Linked DNA regions of Saccharomyces cerevisiae S288C. Changing the gene in region 4 together with the main gene of any one other region gives a genetic interaction. Each region holds a gene or a part of one and is shown on either strand. Other genes may lie near its edges.

Evidence for each region.
Region 1: mutations in USO1 (region 4) and RPL40B together harm fitness more than expected from each alone (negative genetic interaction), as found in Saccharomyces cerevisiae (3 studies listed by BioGRID).
Region 2: mutations in USO1 (region 4) and SFB2 together harm fitness more than expected from each alone (negative genetic interaction), as found in Saccharomyces cerevisiae (3 studies listed by BioGRID).
Region 3: mutations in USO1 (region 4) and BTS1 together harm fitness more than expected from each alone (negative genetic interaction), as found in Saccharomyces cerevisiae (3 studies listed by BioGRID).

What each region holds. Positions count from the first base shown.
Region 1 is NC_001143.9:617,471-620,670, reverse strand, and holds RPL40B (ubiquitin-60S ribosomal protein eL40 RPL40B fusion protein), read left to right. Parts: upstream 1-1,920; coding exon 1,921-1,928; intron 1,929-2,296; coding exon 2,297-2,675; downstream 2,676-3,200. Other genes in the region: MLP1 (Mlp1p), read right to left, coding at 1-866; PTR2 (Ptr2p), read right to left, coding at 3,136-3,200.
Region 2 is NC_001146.8:534,728-539,736, forward strand, and holds SFB2 (COPII subunit SFB2), read right to left. Parts: upstream 3,185-5,009; coding exon 554-3,184; downstream 1-553. Other genes in the region: YNL050C (uncharacterized protein), read right to left, coding at 1-147, 239-255; alpha-1,2-mannosyltransferase ALG11, read left to right, coding at 3,446-5,009. UniProt on the Saccharomyces cerevisiae protein: Component of the COPII coat, that covers ER-derived vesicles involved in transport from the endoplasmic reticulum to the Golgi apparatus.
Region 3 is NC_001148.4:422,346-425,889, forward strand, and holds BTS1 (farnesyltranstransferase), read right to left. Parts: upstream 1,548-3,544; coding exon 540-1,547; downstream 1-539. Other genes in the region: guanine nucleotide exchange factor MUK1, read left to right, coding at 1-441; YPL068C (uncharacterized protein), read right to left, coding at 1,870-2,751; HTC1 (Htc1p), read right to left, coding at 2,906-3,502. UniProt on the Saccharomyces cerevisiae protein: Catalyzes the trans-addition of the 3 molecules of IPP onto DMAPP to form geranylgeranyl pyrophosphate. Required for the membrane attachment of YPT1 and SEC4. May be involved in vesicle trafficking and protein sorting.
Region 4 is NC_001136.10:343,752-351,573, reverse strand, and holds USO1 (Uso1p), read right to left. Parts: upstream 5,910-7,822; coding exon 537-5,909; downstream 1-536. Other genes in the region: YDL057W (uncharacterized protein), read right to left, coding at 1-140; RAD59 (Rad59p), read left to right, coding at 6,621-7,337; small subunit rRNA maturation protein TSR1, read right to left, coding at 7,589-7,822. UniProt on the Saccharomyces cerevisiae protein: Required for protein transport from the ER to the Golgi complex.

The DNA.
Region 1 (3,200 bases), on a different chromosome or scaffold from region 4:
TTTTCGGAATTTAGGGAGTCGGATAGACCCTTGATTTCCAGTAGTTTTTCTTGTAAAGATTTTGACAATTCGTTATTTTTTTGCTTCAAAACATCATTATTCGTTCTTTCCATTTGAAAATCATTCCTTAAACGATTTAATTCATTCCTGATATCTAGAATTACTTTGTCGGTTTTTTGTCTGTAGGAGAGATACTGTTCATTTTTTGAACGTAGCTCCTTTTCTAGCCAATCATTATTTGACTGCAATAAAGTCAATTCTTGTGTTTTTCTTTCCAGTTCAGTTCTAGAATTCAGGTCATTAGTAATATAGCCCTGTTGTTTTGTTTCTAAATCCATTATTGTAGAGCGTAGTTTCTTACATTCACTATTGGAGCGATTATTCTCAACCCTGACCAATTCTATTTCTTTTAGTCTTTCATCCAGTATTTTCAGGGTTCGCTGTTGATTACTCTGGGTTTCCTTTTTCTCCTCAGTTAAATCATCGAGCTTCCTTTTCACAAACTCTAGCTCACTTGATAATTTCATCTTTTCATTTTCTACAGATTCGAACTTAACAAAAGTATCATTCCTCTCTTTTCGGATTTTATCATTTTCTCTTATAACGTTTTCCATTTCTGTCTTCAAACCATCAATTTTCTTTAAAGAACTAGCCTTCAATTCATCGAATGAGACGGTAACCTTTAGATTCTCCGATTTAAGTTCATTAAACTGTAAAAGTTTATCGTTAAGGTGTTTTACCACATCACCGTCAAATGATTTAACCTGCTCTAAAGAGCAACCGAAAAAAGACGCAATGGCGTTCAATCTTTCGTCTGAATTTTCACCATTTTGTATGCTTTCCATTGGAGTATCATGATCCGACATTATCCTAAAACGTGGCGTTACTGACTATTTGTGTAGCTTCGGCGAGTATCAGTTAAGTCCTAGTCAGCACAAGAGATGGAAAAATAGACAGGCAGCAATATATCTATCAGTAAATATTGTAAATGGAGCGTATCTCTCCGGCGCCGTAAGACTCAATGGACCACTTTTATTGATATCTCTGTCTGTATTCAATTTGCCTTCCAGTTTTCTTTTCCCATATACTCTTGTTGTCATGTCAAGAGGAATGAAAGGAAACAAAGATGGGAAGAGCGCGTTACCCCGCGCGTCGATCATCATATTATAAAGAAGACTTAAGTTATTATTTTTGTCAGTAATATTCACCCTGATATAATGTTAGTAAGAAGTAAATTTTATTATTCCATATAGAATCTATGGAAGGTTGACCCATCCCTCAATTTTTTCTTGAGAGTAGAAAAGCTTTCTGCGATATGTGGAGAGATATAAAAAATGCTGGTTCAGTTCAAATAGAGAGAGAAATTTTTAAATTCTTGCATAGGGATACTTGAATTCATTGCTTGAGATATTAACGCGTTAGGTTGTGTTCTTCAATGATGGGCAATGCAATTTGGCGTTAAGCGCCTGAGCAATAAGGTAACAGCGAAATTTATGACATATTATTTCGAACCTTTTACAAACTAGTAGATTTAGTGATTTATTACCTATTGGCATTCATTTGTGTTCTATATGTGGATGAGGATAGCCGCCTTTCTTCTCATCGGAGGCCATATCATCTTTCGACAATCCTTTTTAAATACTATTTCCATCCGTGCCTCTAATAGATTTGTGTAGTTGTCTGGGTGCAATCTTTCCATTTTTGCTGAACTTTTTTTTTTTTTTCATGTTTTTCAGATTCTGAAGTACCGCAATAGGATATGGCGGATAATCCGCCATATGATCCGCCTCATACTAGCCATTACCCATCTATCCCAGGCATTATGGGTATGCAACTCATAATCTCAAATACACAAATAAGAGCAACCTTATATATCACTTTTTCCCGTTCAGCAAGAGGTAAAGCCACCAAAGGTTCAAAATGCAAATGTATGTTACGGCGAATACAGAATACTATGTTCGAAATAATATGAGGATTATACGATAGCAAAAAAGCCATAAACGAAAGACATAAATGGAAAATGATTGACAAGCTCACAATTTATTAAACAAGTAGCAATTGAGAAAAACTATTACCTGCGGCAAGCTTCTGAGTTTACATTAAATCTGTAGAGCAAATTGAAAATGTCGCATATGTGCTGAAGGGTTTGTTTGTTCCATCTTATTTTGCATAACATAGTTATATTTACTTGGTCGCATAAAAAATATTTTTTACTAACGTGAAGTTTCTTTCTTTATGATGTACGCACGCACGTCTGTGCTTACTCCATAAATGAACTTATTCCAATTTTGTACAGCTTCGTTAAGACTTTGACTGGTAAGACCATCACTTTGGAAGTTGAATCTTCTGACACCATTGACAATGTCAAGTCCAAGATCCAAGACAAGGAAGGTATCCCACCTGACCAACAAAGATTGATCTTTGCTGGTAAGCAATTGGAAGACGGTAGAACTCTATCTGACTACAACATCCAAAAGGAATCCACTTTACATTTGGTCTTGAGATTAAGAGGTGGTATCATTGAACCATCTTTGAAAGCCTTGGCTTCCAAATACAACTGTGACAAATCTGTTTGTCGTAAATGTTACGCCAGATTACCACCAAGAGCTACCAACTGTAGAAAGAGAAAGTGTGGTCACACCAACCAATTGCGTCCAAAGAAGAAGTTGAAATAATCGATTTATTACGATCTCCACAAATCCAAAGTTTGTATACATCACGATTTTTTTACTACATATATATTTCCTTTTCTATTCTATTTGTAAATGGGAGGAAATCTTAATATGGACCTCTCTTCACAAATTGTTCTATAATACAATATATATCAAGATATAATAACAAGTCATTTGAGATAATGGTATGCAAATACGCGAAATAAGAGTAAACGGATACAGTGAGCCTGAAGAGGACAAGCTGCTTCCATGTTGTAGTGTTTAGATATATGAGCTTAAAATTTAGATTTACTGAATATTATACAATAGTAATTATACATAAAGAAATTCCATTTTATCTGTTCGATAGCAATGGAAGAGGAGAGAGTTCTGTGAAACAAATAACAGCAGCACAGAAAACTCCCGTCAACGTAATATGGTTAAAAAAAAAAAAAAAAAAAAGACAGTAAGTTAATTAAACGCACTAATATTTGGTGGTGGATCTTAGACTTTCCATTGGTTCTAATATTTCAATATCGTTAGCTTTAG
Region 2 (5,009 bases), on a different chromosome or scaffold from region 4:
GAGTCGGTTCTTTCAACTTCAACGAATTCAAATTCTGTTGGCGGTACTAATACCTCTACATGCTCACTATTATTTTTACTACTACTATTGGAATCATAATCTTCTCCTAATCCCTCTCCTTCATTATAAAGATCTTTTCTTGATACTCTGCAAAATAATTAGAATATTAAACGATTCGTTGAAAAGTTAGTAAAAAAATGAAATTAGAGGCAAACTTGTATCTTATGTCAAAGCATACATCTTAAATTCAGACATTTTTATACTGAATTTCAATGTTTTTCTTTTTTTTTCATTAGAGGAGATTTTTCCATTGCTGTTTAAATGAAACTGGTCGTATTTTAAGTACTTCAAATTTTTCTTTTTCGTACTGATCCGATGACTTGAAAATACTTATTTTTTATGTAGGAACAGAATGGCATTTTTGAAGTACATAACTCTCACACGCAAAGGCCAAAATCTTTCACGATTTACTTTTATTTCTATCTGTATTGTATATCAAAATCTATACATGATGATCGGTTAATAAAGATAAAGATTAAAGAAAGACTGATTGTTATCTGTTGATACTAGTCTTCATACTCTGTAAGTATTCTCTATAACTAGCACAATTTAAAACTTTGTCTTCGACAAGAGTACTTAATACCCATAGCCTTAAAGAAGCCATATCTTTTTCGGAGTTTAGGTTGGCGGGCTCGTTAATAGATGGTCCTCTTATTATGTATAATGATTGAAATGTGATTGTATCATTGTTTTCTCTAATTCTACCGATTATCCTCCTTAGTCTTTCATTGAAAGGCGAATCGTTCAAAAGAGGCAGTTCACTTTTCCCCACAGGAATTTGAGATATGGTGTCAGTATTGAATACATCTATTAGTAACTCAGGAACAGCATCTCCGCCAACCCATAAAAATAATTCTGCGGAATTGTCAATTAAATACAGGCCATATCTTTCGAAAAGAGATATAGTGGCATTTATAGGTTCAGGAAGAACCGTTTTTCCTTCAAAGTCAGGTAGACCGACTTCGTCGGGCATGTCGTGCAGGGAGTAAACTGTAGGGTAAATGCTCTTTATCAAATAATGAAGAGGCTCCGTTTCCAATCTATTCAACGCACTTGCACGGTAATCGCTTGGAACAACGCCCGGTCTGAGGGCTATATGTTTACTTAGTCCATTCATTAATAGAGGTAACATTCTCAAATTTGCGCATAGGTTAAGTGAGGTTACTGAATTTATATTAGACATCGAAATTTCTTTTTTGTAGGCATTTAAAATATCTTCGAGCGATTTTGTGATAAAATCCCTCGCAGAGTACATGCTTGAATTCAAAGCCTTAGTCACCGCGTTTTGTGTCATGAAATCAGTAATGGCTAGTTGATCTGCGGATGCAAACACTTCCCTAGCTGATTCGGACGTTGGTAGAGCTAACGTCATGACTCTAATTCTACGTTCACCAGTGTTTAGAGTCAACAATGTTGACACTTGCAAGTAGCAATATTCTGCCATTAATGAGTCTTCGATGGATATCCCGAAAAGATAAGACTGATCTCTAGGCATTGTGGAAAAAGCGCATAAATCAGAGGATCTGTTAAAAAAATGGCCAAAAAACGATGTGGCCCTCAAGCCAGTAGAACAACGAACTCTCATAACAGCTTCCATTGAAATATCCATGGATAAATGCCTTGATAATTCCCTAGTAAACTTAGTAACATCGTTCAAACTGGTGGCATTAAAACCAGGATAAAAATGTGTTTGACCACCAGAAAAACGGCCCAGGTGAGATAGAGTGGCAACGTCCATGTAGTCCTCTGATGCCAGAAACATGTCCACTGTTATTTGTAGTTTATTACACTCAATTGTGAATGTTTTATAAAAGGAATCTTTACACGACAGTAGCTGAGAGCTTTCTTTTGGTGTGTTTAATATGCCCTGTTCACTTCTTTTTTTCAATTTCCCGATGCCAGTATTTGGTAAAGTTGATGAAATGACTTCAACTTTGCCTCCAGTGCTTTTTATCAAATTTGACGCAGCTTTTAGGGCAGGTCCAAGTGCAAACTTGCTACTGTGTGTGTCTTGAAAAATTTCAGGTATCTTTTTCAACAATGTTTCCAGATTATTTTTACAATATTTTAGTGGAACTACTAATTCATCACTCGGCATTGGTAAAAATGGTTCATCCAAATCGCCAATATCAAACATTTGAATTGTTTCTGAATTATCAACGTCTTCCTCTTCCTCGTCTTCATCTTCTTCTTCACCATCTGATTCTTCATCATCCTCATCCGATACTTCATAATCATCATCCAAAGGAACGTAAAAATAATGAAGGCTATGATCAACACATATAATAGCAATTCTGGTCCTTCCATCATGATTTGGTAGAAATTCTATGTTTTCTAAAATGGTTCTGGCAGAAGTAGCCAATAAACCATTTTTGACAGCGTTTTGAGAAACATCTAAAAGAAATACATAAACAGATGGTGGGGGTTCCCTAACAGAATATTCTACGGGAGCCAAGTAATCCACGACAGAGTTTTTAATTTCGTTTCTTTCATATCTGTTGATTGGAGCGCCTTGTAAGTTCTGATCAAACCCAAATGGGACATCATTTTTGAAACGGCATATATTACATTGCCATTTTCTCCCTTGGTTAATGAAAACGACAAAAGGGTTCATATATGAACGACAACGGCGACAGCGGACAATGACTCCGTCAGTATTTAGCGGTACTTGGTTGTCTGAATCTTGCAAATGCAAATATGGTCTAATAACAATGGCAAATGGTAACTTCGTTTTCTTCAGCAGAGAGTTTGTTTTTGGCACCGCTTTCAAAGTAGATCTGACGTACTGGTATGGAACATTTGAATATTCGGATGGAGTCACAATGTTATCCTGAGAAATGGTGATTGGAAGAGGTGGTAAAGACAGGTCACGGATTGGCGGAGGTAATTCTGTAAACAAATCCACAGGGTATAGTTGATTGACCACTTTCCCAGAACCAGGAAACTGTTGATTTTGAGCTAGCTGTGTAAATGAGTTAGCCCTATTGTTCAATTGTAGGTTGCCCATTGCATAAGCTGTTTGGTCGATTTGTTGTTGAGACTGCTGTTGCTCTGCAACTATTGGCATACTTGCAATGTATGGCACCTGAGCTTGAGGGTACACCCTCTTCTTATGATGAGACATTATTCACTGCAGCTGTCGATCATTAATGGAAGAAGGTTCATCAACCAAGCACACTGCAAATGAAGGGTTAGATGAAGAGTTCGACGAAGACCCTTTTAACTGACGTATCATTCATCGTTGTCATCGCTACATCTATGTCCTTCGGGTAAGCTAAACAAAAAGTGAAAAGTTCAATAAATAATAAGATTGAGAGGTAAGTGAAGTGAAGATAGATGTTAGTATCCAAGTGTGACCAACATGTTCAGGTGATTGCAGGCGAAAATGGGCAGTGCTTGGACAAACTACAATTTTGAAGAGGTTAAGTCTCATTTTGGGTTCAAAAAATATGTTGTATCATCTTTAGTACTAGTGTATGGACTAATTAAGGTTCTCACGTGGATCTTCCGTCAATGGGTGTATTCCAGCTTGAATCCGTTCTCCAAAAAATCTTCATTACTGAACAGAGCAGTTGCCTCCTGTGGTGAGAAGAATGTGAAAGTTTTTGGTTTTTTTCATCCGTATTGTAATGCTGGTGGTGGTGGGGAAAAAGTGCTCTGGAAAGCTGTAGATATCACTTTGAGAAAAGATGCTAAGAACGTTATTGTCATTTATTCAGGGGATTTTGTGAATGGAGAGAATGTTACTCCGGAGAATATTCTAAATAATGTGAAAGCGAAGTTCGATTACGACTTGGATTCGGATAGAATATTTTTCATTTCATTGAAGCTAAGATACTTGGTGGATTCTTCAACATGGAAGCATTTCACGTTGATTGGACAAGCAATTGGATCAATGATTCTCGCATTTGAATCCATTATTCAGTGTCCACCTGATATATGGATTGATACAATGGGGTACCCTTTCAGCTATCCTATTATTGCTAGGTTTTTGAGGAGAATTCCTATCGTCACATATACGCATTATCCGATAATGTCAAAAGACATGTTAAATAAGCTGTTCAAAATGCCCAAGAAGGGTATCAAAGTTTACGGTAAAATATTATACTGGAAAGTTTTTATGTTAATTTATCAATCCATTGGTTCTAAAATTGATATTGTAATCACAAACTCAACATGGACAAATAACCACATAAAGCAAATTTGGCAATCCAATACGTGTAAAATTATATATCCTCCATGCTCTACTGAGAAATTAGTAGATTGGAAGCAAAAGTTTGGTACTGCAAAGGGTGAGAGATTAAATCAAGCAATTGTGTTGGCACAATTTCGTCCTGAGAAACGTCATAAGTTAATCATTGAGTCCTTTGCAACTTTCTTGAAAAATTTACCGGATTCTGTATCGCCAATTAAATTGATAATGGCGGGGTCCACTAGATCCAAGCAAGATGAAAATTATGTTAAAAGTTTACAAGACTGGTCAGAAAATGTATTAAAAATTCCTAAACATTTGATATCATTCGAAAAAAATCTGCCCTTCGATAAGATTGAAATATTACTAAACAAATCTACTTTCGGTGTTAATGCCATGTGGAATGAGCACTTTGGAATTGCAGTTGTAGAGTATATGGCTTCCGGTTTGATCCCCATAGTTCATGCCTCGGCGGGCCCATTGTTAGATATAGTTACTCCATGGGATGCCAACGGGAATATCGGAAAAGCTCCACCACAATGGGAGTTACAAAAGAAATATTTTGCAAAACTCGAAGATGATGGTGAAACTACTGGATTTTTCTTTAAAGAGCCGAGTGATCCTGATTATAACACAACCAAAGATCCTCTGAGATACCCTAATTTGTCCGACCTTTTCTTACAAATTACGAAACTGGACTATGACTGCCTAAGGGTGATGGGCGCAAGAAACCAGCAGTATTCATTGTATAAATTCT
Region 3 (3,544 bases), on a different chromosome or scaffold from region 4:
AGGCCAGATGTTACAAGATCGAATTCGTATGATGGCTTCAGGACCGTTTTTGATTCATCATTAAAAAATATCATCGGAAAAATTAGGTCATATACTCCACCACATCCTAACAATACTAGCAATAATAACCTTCACAGTAGCAACAACTTAAACATACCACGAAGTTCGTCTCAATTATCCATGGAATTGAGCAATAGAGATACAACAGAGATGTCTAGGGATGGCTCACGATCAACTTCATCATCTTCACGATCTTCAGCATCTTTAGAGCACGGAAATCGCGAATTTACCGGCGATTTGACAGTAACCGCTAGCATTAACGGTGCTGATAAAAAGGAGTTTCAGAAATCGTGGAAAAAATATAAAGGCTATAAATTTGAAGATTTGACTATTTGCGAACTAAGAGATCTTTTTGAGATATATCAAAAGATGATGCAATGAAACGTATATATGAAATCGTATGTATAGATGCGAAAGAGGAGGAGAGAAGGCTTTATTTCTGACTATCTTCCTCCACTAATTTGATTGATCAATTTATTTCACAATTCGGATAAGTGGTCTATTATATATAACAATTCGTCATGTAAATTGGTGGCGGTGTCGGAATGCGAAGCCAAATCAGGTAAATACTTATTTTCATTATCATTTTTTATCATATTCACTAATTGATTAATAAAATTTTTGGTGTAGGCCAATGAATTGGTGTCGAATTCCAGTATTTGAATCAGCTTTAGTTTTATATCTTTATCACTTGTCCTCAACAGGAGAATTCTTAGAATTTCATTGTGTTGCTCAGTTTGACCTTTCGTTTTAGTGAAGTTAAGGGCGTGGACGATGGGAAAAGATAACTTCCCCTCTGTAATGTCCTCAGCAAAGCCTTTTTCGCTGGACATTTGGAAATCTTTCAAATTCAAGTAATCATCTCTAATCTGATAAATAATACCCAGAAGATTTATGAAAGGAACCAACGAATGGCCGTGGTGTGAGGAAGGAGACAGCGCTTCCATGAGTCTCAACGTTAATCTGAAAAGGCCGCCTGTTTTATTCATAACCATATTCAAATACATCTCCTGAGTAGGTATGATTTCAGGCAGAAAGTCTCTCCAGTATATATCCAAGCCTTGTCCCCTATGTAGATTGATCAATTCTTCGTTGAAAATCGTAATCAAATTATGATACAAAGGCTCTTTTGTGGTTAGCTGCGATACAAGTTGCATGGCTCTGAAATACATATAATTTGCGGTGTTTATAGTGGAGGGTACACCGAAGATTAAGTGAGAAGTGGTCTGTCCCCTTCTCAAGGGAGCATTATCTTCTATATCGTCGATTAAAAGGCTGGAATTATGCAAGAGCTCAACAATTTGCGAAACTATGGCCAGCTGGTCTTTGGGCAAATTCATAACTCTGTTAATTTGAACTATTAAATTTAGTCTAAAGTTCTTGCCAGGTTTCAAAAGGATGTGATTATAAGGTTTTGAAATCAAGCTTTCATTTTGGCTGGACCAAACAGGATCATTATTGATCAGCTCATCTATCTTGGCCTCCATTGATTTTCCAGACTCGTAAACGCTTTGTTCTCTTTCTATTAGTAGCTTCTTTGAAAATGAGCCTTACATGGTTTTGTAAGCACATCTGTCTTGACTTTTTTTTTGCTTCAAAAAAACGTCAAAGAAGGCAAGGCGAAGCAAAGAAAAATGGTAGTAAGCATACAATGATCAGCATAACATATGCAAAAACACGTAATTTCTGCTATGCTGGAAGCGGTGAACGTTGGATACCACTATAATAATAGAAGTTTACCTTTCAGTATGAAAATGCGGGCTTGTCCTATATCTATATGTAATATTATGGAGTGAGTAGAGATGGCGGCTATACATCGTTGTAGAGAGTTATATCTGTATTGTTAATTAAAGATTGGCCAGGCGAAGGTTGGTTCCTTTTTGCTTTAAATCTGCTTTTATGGGGCCATACCAGAGAATTATTTCTTTCTTTCAGTATTGGCTTGTCAAGCTTTTTGATAATGCTATTAAGTGTCAGCGAATTCGCCGTAGTTTGCAACGCTGTGTTGTTTGTATGGCAATTGTTATTATATACTTCCAAATTAATCAAATCTACCAGGTTAATAGAATGCAAATTCGCTATCTCATGGATGATGTCATTGTGGTAGGCAGTGCCGCTGTGACTGGGGTGGCTAAATGGAGGTTTCCTCTCAGCTAGCATTTTTTTCAATTTGTCTGAGTGCGCTTGAGAGGAGGCCTTTAATTTGGAAGTAGTGACTGGTCTTGTCTTCGAGTCACTGTTTAATTGCTCGAATGAATATAATAGGTTTACGATGTTTTGTAGGAGTTTTAGATCATTGGGCAGCCTTAACATTTCGAAATTTTTCAAGCCGGCGAGAGTCGGCTTATGTATATCTTTATAAAATAATCTTTGTTGTCTTTTGATGAGATTGGACAAATTTTTCTGAACTTCCAATACAGAGATCTTTTCGGGATCATCATCAGGTGAAGATAGGCTGGCGCTATTGTGGAATTTAGGGCGCTGCAGAGGCTTAGGTATTATTATATTTGAGGTGCCCAGTGTTGTGGTTGTGGCTCGAATAGCTGGACTAACCATGTTTTGTGCGACTACTTTACGCTTCTTAGGGACAATAATGGATGGTACCGCTGCCGTTGTGGTTGAAGGAGGATCGGACGTCTGATTTCTCCCTGAATAGTCAACCCTTTTTCTTTTCCTGAGTTGCATATGCATATTATATTGTATGTGCTTGTGTAGGTAGAAGCGTCTTTTATTTATCTACTGTCTCATCAGCTCATCGCATCATTAATACCAGTATCGGTTATAGTACATAATTAACAAATGTATGTAGCATTTTGGCATGCTGAAAAAAAAAAAAAAAACTTTATCAGGCAAGTGGCTCGAAACCGTGTGAAAGGATATCATCAACGGTCGTTTTTACCTGTTCCGCGGAATAGCGTTCCCGTGGGAAGAAAAGCAGCACGTGAGCGTGGAAAATCCGGGCAACACTTTGTAGTTCCGGGTAGTTGACAAACCAGGCCACGTGACCCGAGCTTAGAAGTGGACGCAGTAGCGGCTGTGCCTGCAAAAATGCATTCATGCGAGCGCGGGCCGCTTCGCGCACGGCCTTATCTGGGGAATGTACTGGCAGGGCAACCTTGGACCAGAGAACAAGGTGTACAACACCAGGCTCGAAGTTATACGGGAAATCGTTGGCACGCACAGCATATAGAGTAGAAGAACTAAAAGCCTTCGCGGCAGCATTTTCGAGCTGCGGTTCGTCTAGCGACCAGCCTAGTTTTTGCAAAACGTACTGGTTCATGTCCAGGCCAGCAGTCCTTTTCTTATGCTCGTGGTATTTGTCAGTCATCTGGCGACTTCGTTTCAAACGGGCAAGCTCCCCCGATTCAATTATCTCTTTGATTTGTTCCCACTTCCACCCTTGGGCCTCCTCCTGGTGATCGTTGACGATATCTTGTTGCATTGTAAACCTAAGCTGTTATAAGTAAATCAAGTGCAATACAAA
Region 4 (7,822 bases):
GGGTATGAAACTATAGCCGCAATTTGATAAGATAAGCCGTTCATTGTACTTGTAATATATACGAATTTTTCATTTGCTTCCAATTTGATATAGGAGGGGGGAGCACTTTGTATTTGCACAGTGACATGTTTTTTTTCCATTTCGACTTGGTTATTTGACAAATATTCCCTTTTCTGATCTTTTTAGTACTTTCATCACTCCTGTAGATCTGCATCGGCTTTTCGCTATTTTTCCTTGGCTTATTATAATGCGTAAGCGTTTCTCGACAGAGATATTGCGACGCTGAGAAAAAAAAAGGAAGTTCTATGCAAGGGACATTAATGATATATTAGACAATTGTCTACGTGAGCTCACATATTGTTTGCACAAACTATACTTTAATTAGAAGGCGTGAAGTAATGTTAGATGTTATAGAAAATATAACATTTAGTGTCAGTAAAATGTATATATGCATATATAATTACAAAAAAGTAGTGCTGCCCACATAATCAAACAGATCGTTCAAGCGATTTGTTTATGCACATATTTTAACTCTATCATGCCACTTGCCCTTCTTCCTCGTCTTCTTCATCATCTTCTTCATCATCCTCTTCATCCGAACTAATTTCAACGCCCAAATCCTTCAGCTTTGAGCGATATTTGGCGTTTTTCTCATCTAGGTCAGTAACCAAGAGCATCAAGTCATCAATTTCCGAACGATCTTCGTTAGCTTCCTTCAACTTAGAGTTCTCTGCCTTCAAGTTATCCAGTTCTTTAGCCAACTTTTCAATTTCTTGTCTCTGAGAATCGGTTGTCTTTTTAACAGTATCTTCATCCCTTTTCCATGCTTGCTCTTTATTCACCAAATCGTTGTATTTAGTTTCAAGCAACATGGCTTTTTCATCAAGTTGAGACTTTTCGACTTGAAACTTCCTGACTTCGGCCCTACGTTCTTCCTCGGATTTTTGTGCCTTCTGTTGGGTGCTATCTAATTCCTGTTCTAATTCCTTGAGGCGCGAAGTTAGTAATTCTTTTTCTTCTTGATTACTTTTTATTTCGGCTTGCTTGTCTTTGAGTTCACGTTCTATATCTTCTAATTTAGATTTCAAAACTGTATTTTCTTCTGCGTTGATCCTTATTTTTTCTTGTGCGTTATTTAGCTCTTGTTTTACGGTTTCTAGTTCAGAGCCAGATTTTGCTTCGATCCTCAGTTTACTTTTCAGTTCTTCAATATCCTTTTCAGATTCGTTGATTCGGGATATCAAATCTGACTTCTCATGTTGCAAGTTTTTAATATCCTCCTCAGCACTTTTTTTCGACTGTTCTAATTTTTCATCTGATTTCCTTATGGTTTCCATTGAGGATTTCAACTCCGTTTCATTGCTCTCAATCGTACTCTCTAGCTTTTTCATCATTTCTTTAGACTTTTCAAGCTCTGCTTTCTCTTTTGAAGATTCTTCCTCAAGTTTTTTCAGCCCTTCTTCAACTTTAGCTTTGGATTCTTGTGCAGCCCGGAGTTGTTCTTTCAAGCTCTCCAGGTCTCGTTTATTATCTCGCTCTATTGATAGAAGCTTTTCGTCATTTCTAGTTATTTTGTCTTTATATGAAAGAATTTCATCTTGTAAGCTTTTTATTGTGTTTTGTTTCTCTTCTAAAAGCTCATCATTGCTTAAACTAACCTTCTCTAGTTCACTCCTCGTATTATCGATCTCTTTGGCTTTTAATTCGTTTTCATTTTGTAGCCTAATTAATTCATCTTCCAAAGTATTGATCTTTTCAGAATATTCTTGTGTAATTGTTGAAGATCCTTCATTAAGTAGCTTTCTTTCCTTTTCGAAGGCCTGATTTTTGATTTGTATTTCATTTTTCAATTTTTCCAATTGCTCCTCTGCATTTTTTCTTTCCTCAGAAGATGTCTTCTTCAATCTAGACAACTCAGATTCTGATTTCTCCTTGGCCTTAGATAAATTAGTGATCTTTTCCAATTGAATTTTTAGTTCAGTCGTTTTAGCATCTAGTTCTTCTTTTATCTTCTCCGATTCCTTCTGTAGCTCCAAATATTTAGAGTTCTTATCTTCTGAGGCCTTGAGTTTGTCTTCCAATTCACTAACTTCCTTTTCTTTAAAGTTACATTCGTCTTGTAATTCTTTAATTTTTACCGTTTCTGATTCTACACTTTTGATTGACTCCAATAAACTGGCTTCGTTCGTTTCGTTCTTCTTTTTCAGCTCTTTAATTTGCAAATTTAAGGCATCAATCTCTGACTTTTTCAAATTTGATTGTTCCTCTGAAGTGCTCTTCATTGCTTTAACTTCGCCCTCCAGTTCGTCATTTTTTTTCTTAATTGATTCATTTTCTTGTTGAGTGGAAGTAATCTCATCATTTAATTGAGATATTTCCTCGTTATATTGCCTTTCCTTGTTGGCAATTTGCTCCTCGTACTTCTTCAACTGAGCTGCTAAATCTTCATGCTCTTTTTCTAATGATTCTAAATTGGCACGTAGGCTGTTGAGTTGCTGTTTGGTTTCAGTGGCCTCCTTCTCGAGTTGAATTTTCTCTTCTTTTAAATGCTCCTCGTTTTCTTTAACTTCTTTCAAAGCTTTCTCTGAAGTTTCTAGTTTTGTTTCAAGTTCATTTTTGAGATTTTTATAAGCTGCTAACTCGGCTTCCAGCTCTTCCCTAGTTTTAGTCAATTCTGAGATTTTATTCACGTTTTCATCGTTTGCTGTTGTCGCCGTTTCTAATTTTTCTTTCAAGAGACTAATCTGGGACTCATATTCATCTTTTGAAGAATCGGATTTTGAGATAATTTCCTCCTTCGTTTGTTCTAAGTCAGAGATGGTTTTTTTTAGTTGTTCGATATTTTTTTCTATACTGCCTCTTTCTATTTGAAAATTTTCTTTTTCCTGTGACATAGAATCAATTTTATTTTGCAAATTAGACAATTGTATGCTGCTTTCGTTTTTTGACTCTTCTACAGCTTTTATTAGAGACTCATTTTCAGCTTGCATATCCTTATAGTTATTTGCTAAGGATTTCAATTTTTCTGTTAGTTTCGCTACTAGATTGTCATGACTCTGAAAGCGGGATTTGTACTCAACAAGTTCCTTCGAAATATGTTCCTTTTCTTTTGATAAATTATTACATTGAATTTTCATTTCTTCCAGATTTTCATTGATAGCTTTTATTTCAGTAATTTTTGCCGCAATATCTTCTTTTAGTGATTTAGTCTCTTTCTGATGGTTGACATTGCTTTTATCTTTTTCCTTCTGTAAATTTTTACAATTCTCCTCAACTGCTTGCATCTCTCTACTCAGAGCGAATAAATCTTTACCCATTTTGTTTATACCATCTTCTGCCTTTTTCTTTTGAGACAAAATAGTTTCAAGTCCTTTTTCTAAAGTTTTGATAGAGTCTTCTTGTTTGTGGATTGTGCTTTTGTACTCCAGTAAAGCAGTTTGATTTTCTTTGTCCTTAGTTTCCAGTACATCTCTCAGTTGCGTCATTTCATCCAAGGAATCTCTGACGTTCTTCAATTCAGTTTCCAAAATGGAAAAGTTTTCTTTCAACGAAGAATGTGAGGAATTCAAAATTTGGTATTTCTCATCCAACTCTTTGTGTTCATTAGTCAACGCAATCAATTTTTCGGTGAGGTTCTCATGGGTGCTTTCCGTTTCTGTTTGCAAAGAAGTTATCTCACCCTTCAATTTTGTACATTGCCTCTGTAATTTTTCGACTTCTTCGAAAGATATTTTATTGATTGGCTCTTCGTCAGGGTCGTGAGACAATGCAGTTCTGATCCTGTATATGTTTTCATTAAATAACTGTATGAAGTAAGTGCTGAAATAAACTTTTGGTAAACCAGTTTCATCAAGCTCCGGAGTTAGTATACTGTCTTCATTCATATCAACTTTTGAGAAATATGAATCTTTTTTAAATTGTTTGATTCGAGAAGCATAATTGTCTTTTCCCAAAGTTTTAGTGATGAATTCGAAGTATTCCTTTCTTGGGAATGGAGATTCTTTCGAGGAAAACTCGTATGCCACACCTAGTAACATTGTTACAAGGCATTTGATAGTAACGTCTTCATCTTGAATTTGGTAAGAGAAGGAAAGCAAGGATTTAATCACGGATTTATCCGAAAGAAAATCGTTCGTGGCCTTAAAGTCGCCAAAGAGCCAATATATTAGGAACGTTAAGTAGGAAATAGGAATTCTTATGTCAGCAGCAGTAAGGGAAGTAGTTAGCAATTCACTTATTGTTTGAATTGCCTTTAAGGGTTCTTCGTCTTCGAGATCGTTACCGGTGGTAACATTTCTTGTTATTTCACGTAGTTCTTCGCTATATTTGTGATCCTGTTGGAAAAAAAACATAAAAATATCAGTTGTGAAGAATAATTTAAAAGGGTTCAGATTCAATTCTGCGTCATAATTTAACAGGACTTCGAATAGATTTGCCTTGAAAGAACCTTCATATTCAGTGCCATCCTTCCCGTCGGTATCTTTATCTGAATCACTTTCTTTATCAGATTTGTTAGAACCACCATTTTCTTTAGCATTGTCGCCGACATTATTTGTTGAATTATTACACAATTGGACTTGTTTTAGTAAAAAATCTCTTTGAAGATCAAAATTATCCATGAAATAAGCCTTTAATAGTCTAGAACACGCAACTCTTGTATCAAACGTGTGAACGGAGTTGGCATAGAGCATCCAATTTATCAAGATGCTGACTACAGGAATTAATTTAATTGGACCACCGTTTGCAGTAGAGTTTACAGGTAATGAAGGATCGAAATATGGAACATCGATCTTACTAAACTCTAGCTGTGCATGTTCATTACTTCTAACCATGTTTGCGGCAGTCAAAAGAGCAACCGGTCTAACTTTTTTTGGGATATTATGAAAGAATGCAAGTCGCAACACAACCATTAATACGCTTGAGTCAAGCAACGCATTTTGATGCTTAGTGGTGACAGTATTTCCTGGCTCTACTGTTAGGCTGACGATATCTAAAGCTGTATTGATATTAACTATCCTTTGATCATTCCAAAAAAAAACTTCATCTTGAGATATTGGTTCACTCAAAAGGTGTGCCAGTTTTGGCAAGTTTCCTGTCTCAAGGAATAAAGTTTGATTAGAAGTGTTATACTTCAGGATGTTATTGATCAACGATAAACAATCATTGACGACGAGAGAGCCTCTTAACCCACCTTCTTCTTCGATGATGGAAAAGAGCCTTTCAAAAATGTTTTCAAAAGCAACCAATTTTTGAACGTGAGGTGAATCGTTCACTACTGCCATTAATAATAAAATAGCTTCATCCCTGATGGGCTCATGCATGTCATCTAGGAGTGAGACCATTGTGGATATGCTCGTTGGAAGTGAAATCAAAGCACTTCTCGCCTTCAACGGCCTCGTGGCCATCACTGCCTCTAGTAATTGAATTGTGTACAATCTAATATGGAAATTATCGATTTCCCAAAATTCAACAAGTAGGTGAATTAAATCTTCAGACTGCGTCAAAGCATCAGCAATCCATAACGAGAACTGATCTACTTGTTCCTTTTCTTGCTTCATCACCAATGGTGAGGGATACTTGCCATTCTGCAACCGCGATTGTTGAGAAATCCAACCTCTAGTTAAGTCGTCATGGCCATCGCCTCTGATGAAAAGAATCAAAATTGTTTCTAATATAGCCTTTACCGAATCTTCATCCATATAATCACGTTTCAAAGTATTGAGCAACGGTTTTAGCCCGGATGCAATCACTGATTCTCTATACTGCCGGCTAAATGCCTTTAATCCCAGCACAGCGGATCTCCTATCGCTAATCAAAGTGGAGTTCTCAACTCGATCGCACAACGTCGGAATGGTTTCATCCACAGATTGAATTTTTGGTTGCTGTATCAGTCCTTGAATGATGTCCATTCTTGATAGGAGGGTTGTTATAGATATTAATCACTCGAAGTCGTGAACAAGAATTGTCTTCTCTCCAGTATTCAGTCTCTGTGATGTCTAAACCCTGTTAATGTGCAAGGTCTATTTTTTTCGTAAGAACCACGCGCTTTAGGCTTTATTTCTGGTAATAATAGCAAGAAATAAGAACAGACAGTTGCAAATCTAAACGACTGTCCAAACGAAAGTATCAAGTTCGCTAAATTTACTTCGAAGACAGAAGCCAGTAAATTTTGTTTTCTTCATGGAAATAGTTTCCAAAAAGTTCTTAGTAATTACCATATGTTCTTGTATGTGGCGCTGCGAAAGAAAGGTTAGCCGACCGGCATCACCCATAATTGTATAATATAGCAATGAAGCAACTTGTTGAAGTTTTCTTTAAAGTACTATAGTATTGAATAATATCATGTTCACTTGATAAAATTGGGTATTTTATTGACCATTATATCGCGTTGGACACTAATGTCTTTCAAGTTGGTGTCACGTCACGTGCTTTTCAATGTACTGGGGCAAATTGATTAGAGGAAGCCACAGTTTGGCAAGGGCAGATATGATAGGAAGCAGTAACGGCAAGGAAGGATAAGAACATCATTGAGGGAGTCTGTGGCAGTTTAGCACATGCTTTGGACCATTAAAGGGTTACGTAGAGGAGAAGAGCATATTTCAGGATAAACAGACAAAATAATGACGATACAAGCGAAGCCCAGTTCGAGCATATCGTATGATTCGACTACATACGGCACAGCACCGGGCTTGGATATAAAAGAGTTCCAAATCATCGAAGATTGGAATGGAAGACCTGCCAGCGCTTGGTCGGTGCAGAGGATTGGGCTTCTACAGTCCAAGATCGAAAGGTACACGTACAATATTTACCACAATAATAAATATGGGAAGCACAACTTATCTAAGCTGATACCAGGGCATGCTCTCATTCAGTTCGCTAATGAAACATTCGGGTATGATGGTTGGCGAATGGATGTTATAGATGTTGAGGCCCGGGAGTGCCAGCCCTTCACCGCAGTAAATAATGGAGAAAACACCAACACTAGTGAGGTCAAGTATACAGTTGTGGCAGAAGCCCAAGTAAAGGTTACCTTAAAGGATGGCACCAACACACAGTGTGGTGGGCTAGGTAGAATTACTTTGTCCTCGAGAGGTGAATGTTATAACAGGTCGAAAAAAGAGGCTGTAGGCGATGCGTTAAAGAAGGCGTTATTGAGCTTTGAAAAAATCATACTCGATTATGAGACTAAGATTACAAATAATTACTATGTCGATGGCTTGTATGGCTCAAAAAAAATTAAAAATGAAGCTAACACCAATTACAACTTATTGTCAGCGACTAATAGCAAGCCGACTTTTATCAAATTGGAGGATGCTAAAGGCACGCATATCAAATAAAAAAAAAAAGAAAGAAAAAGGGCACAAGTAGCAAATTTATTTTGCTTGATAAAAAGTCATAATTTTCACATAATGCATTAATACCTCTACAAAATAAGTGGCATTTGTATTTGATGCGAACGGAACAGGTATCGACTTACCTTTATCAACAGTATCGTTGATACTATTTTATTAGCATTATATTATACAAATAGATCTCACGTACTTATATATATATATATATATATATATACGTGTATATTTTTATCACTTTACATACCATTCCAAGGTAACGAAGGCATGGGCCACATACGTTTGTACAAGGACATAGCAACAACATCCTGCGCAGATAATTTACCATCAAATGTAGCCTTGAAATAACCATGCGTACCCAAACTTTCTTTAATGAAACCTGACCTACCTGATTTGGTGAACAGTGGGATAGACTTGAACCATTCCACATCTTCTGGTCTGAAAAACATGTAACGTACAGTAACCACAGTTTT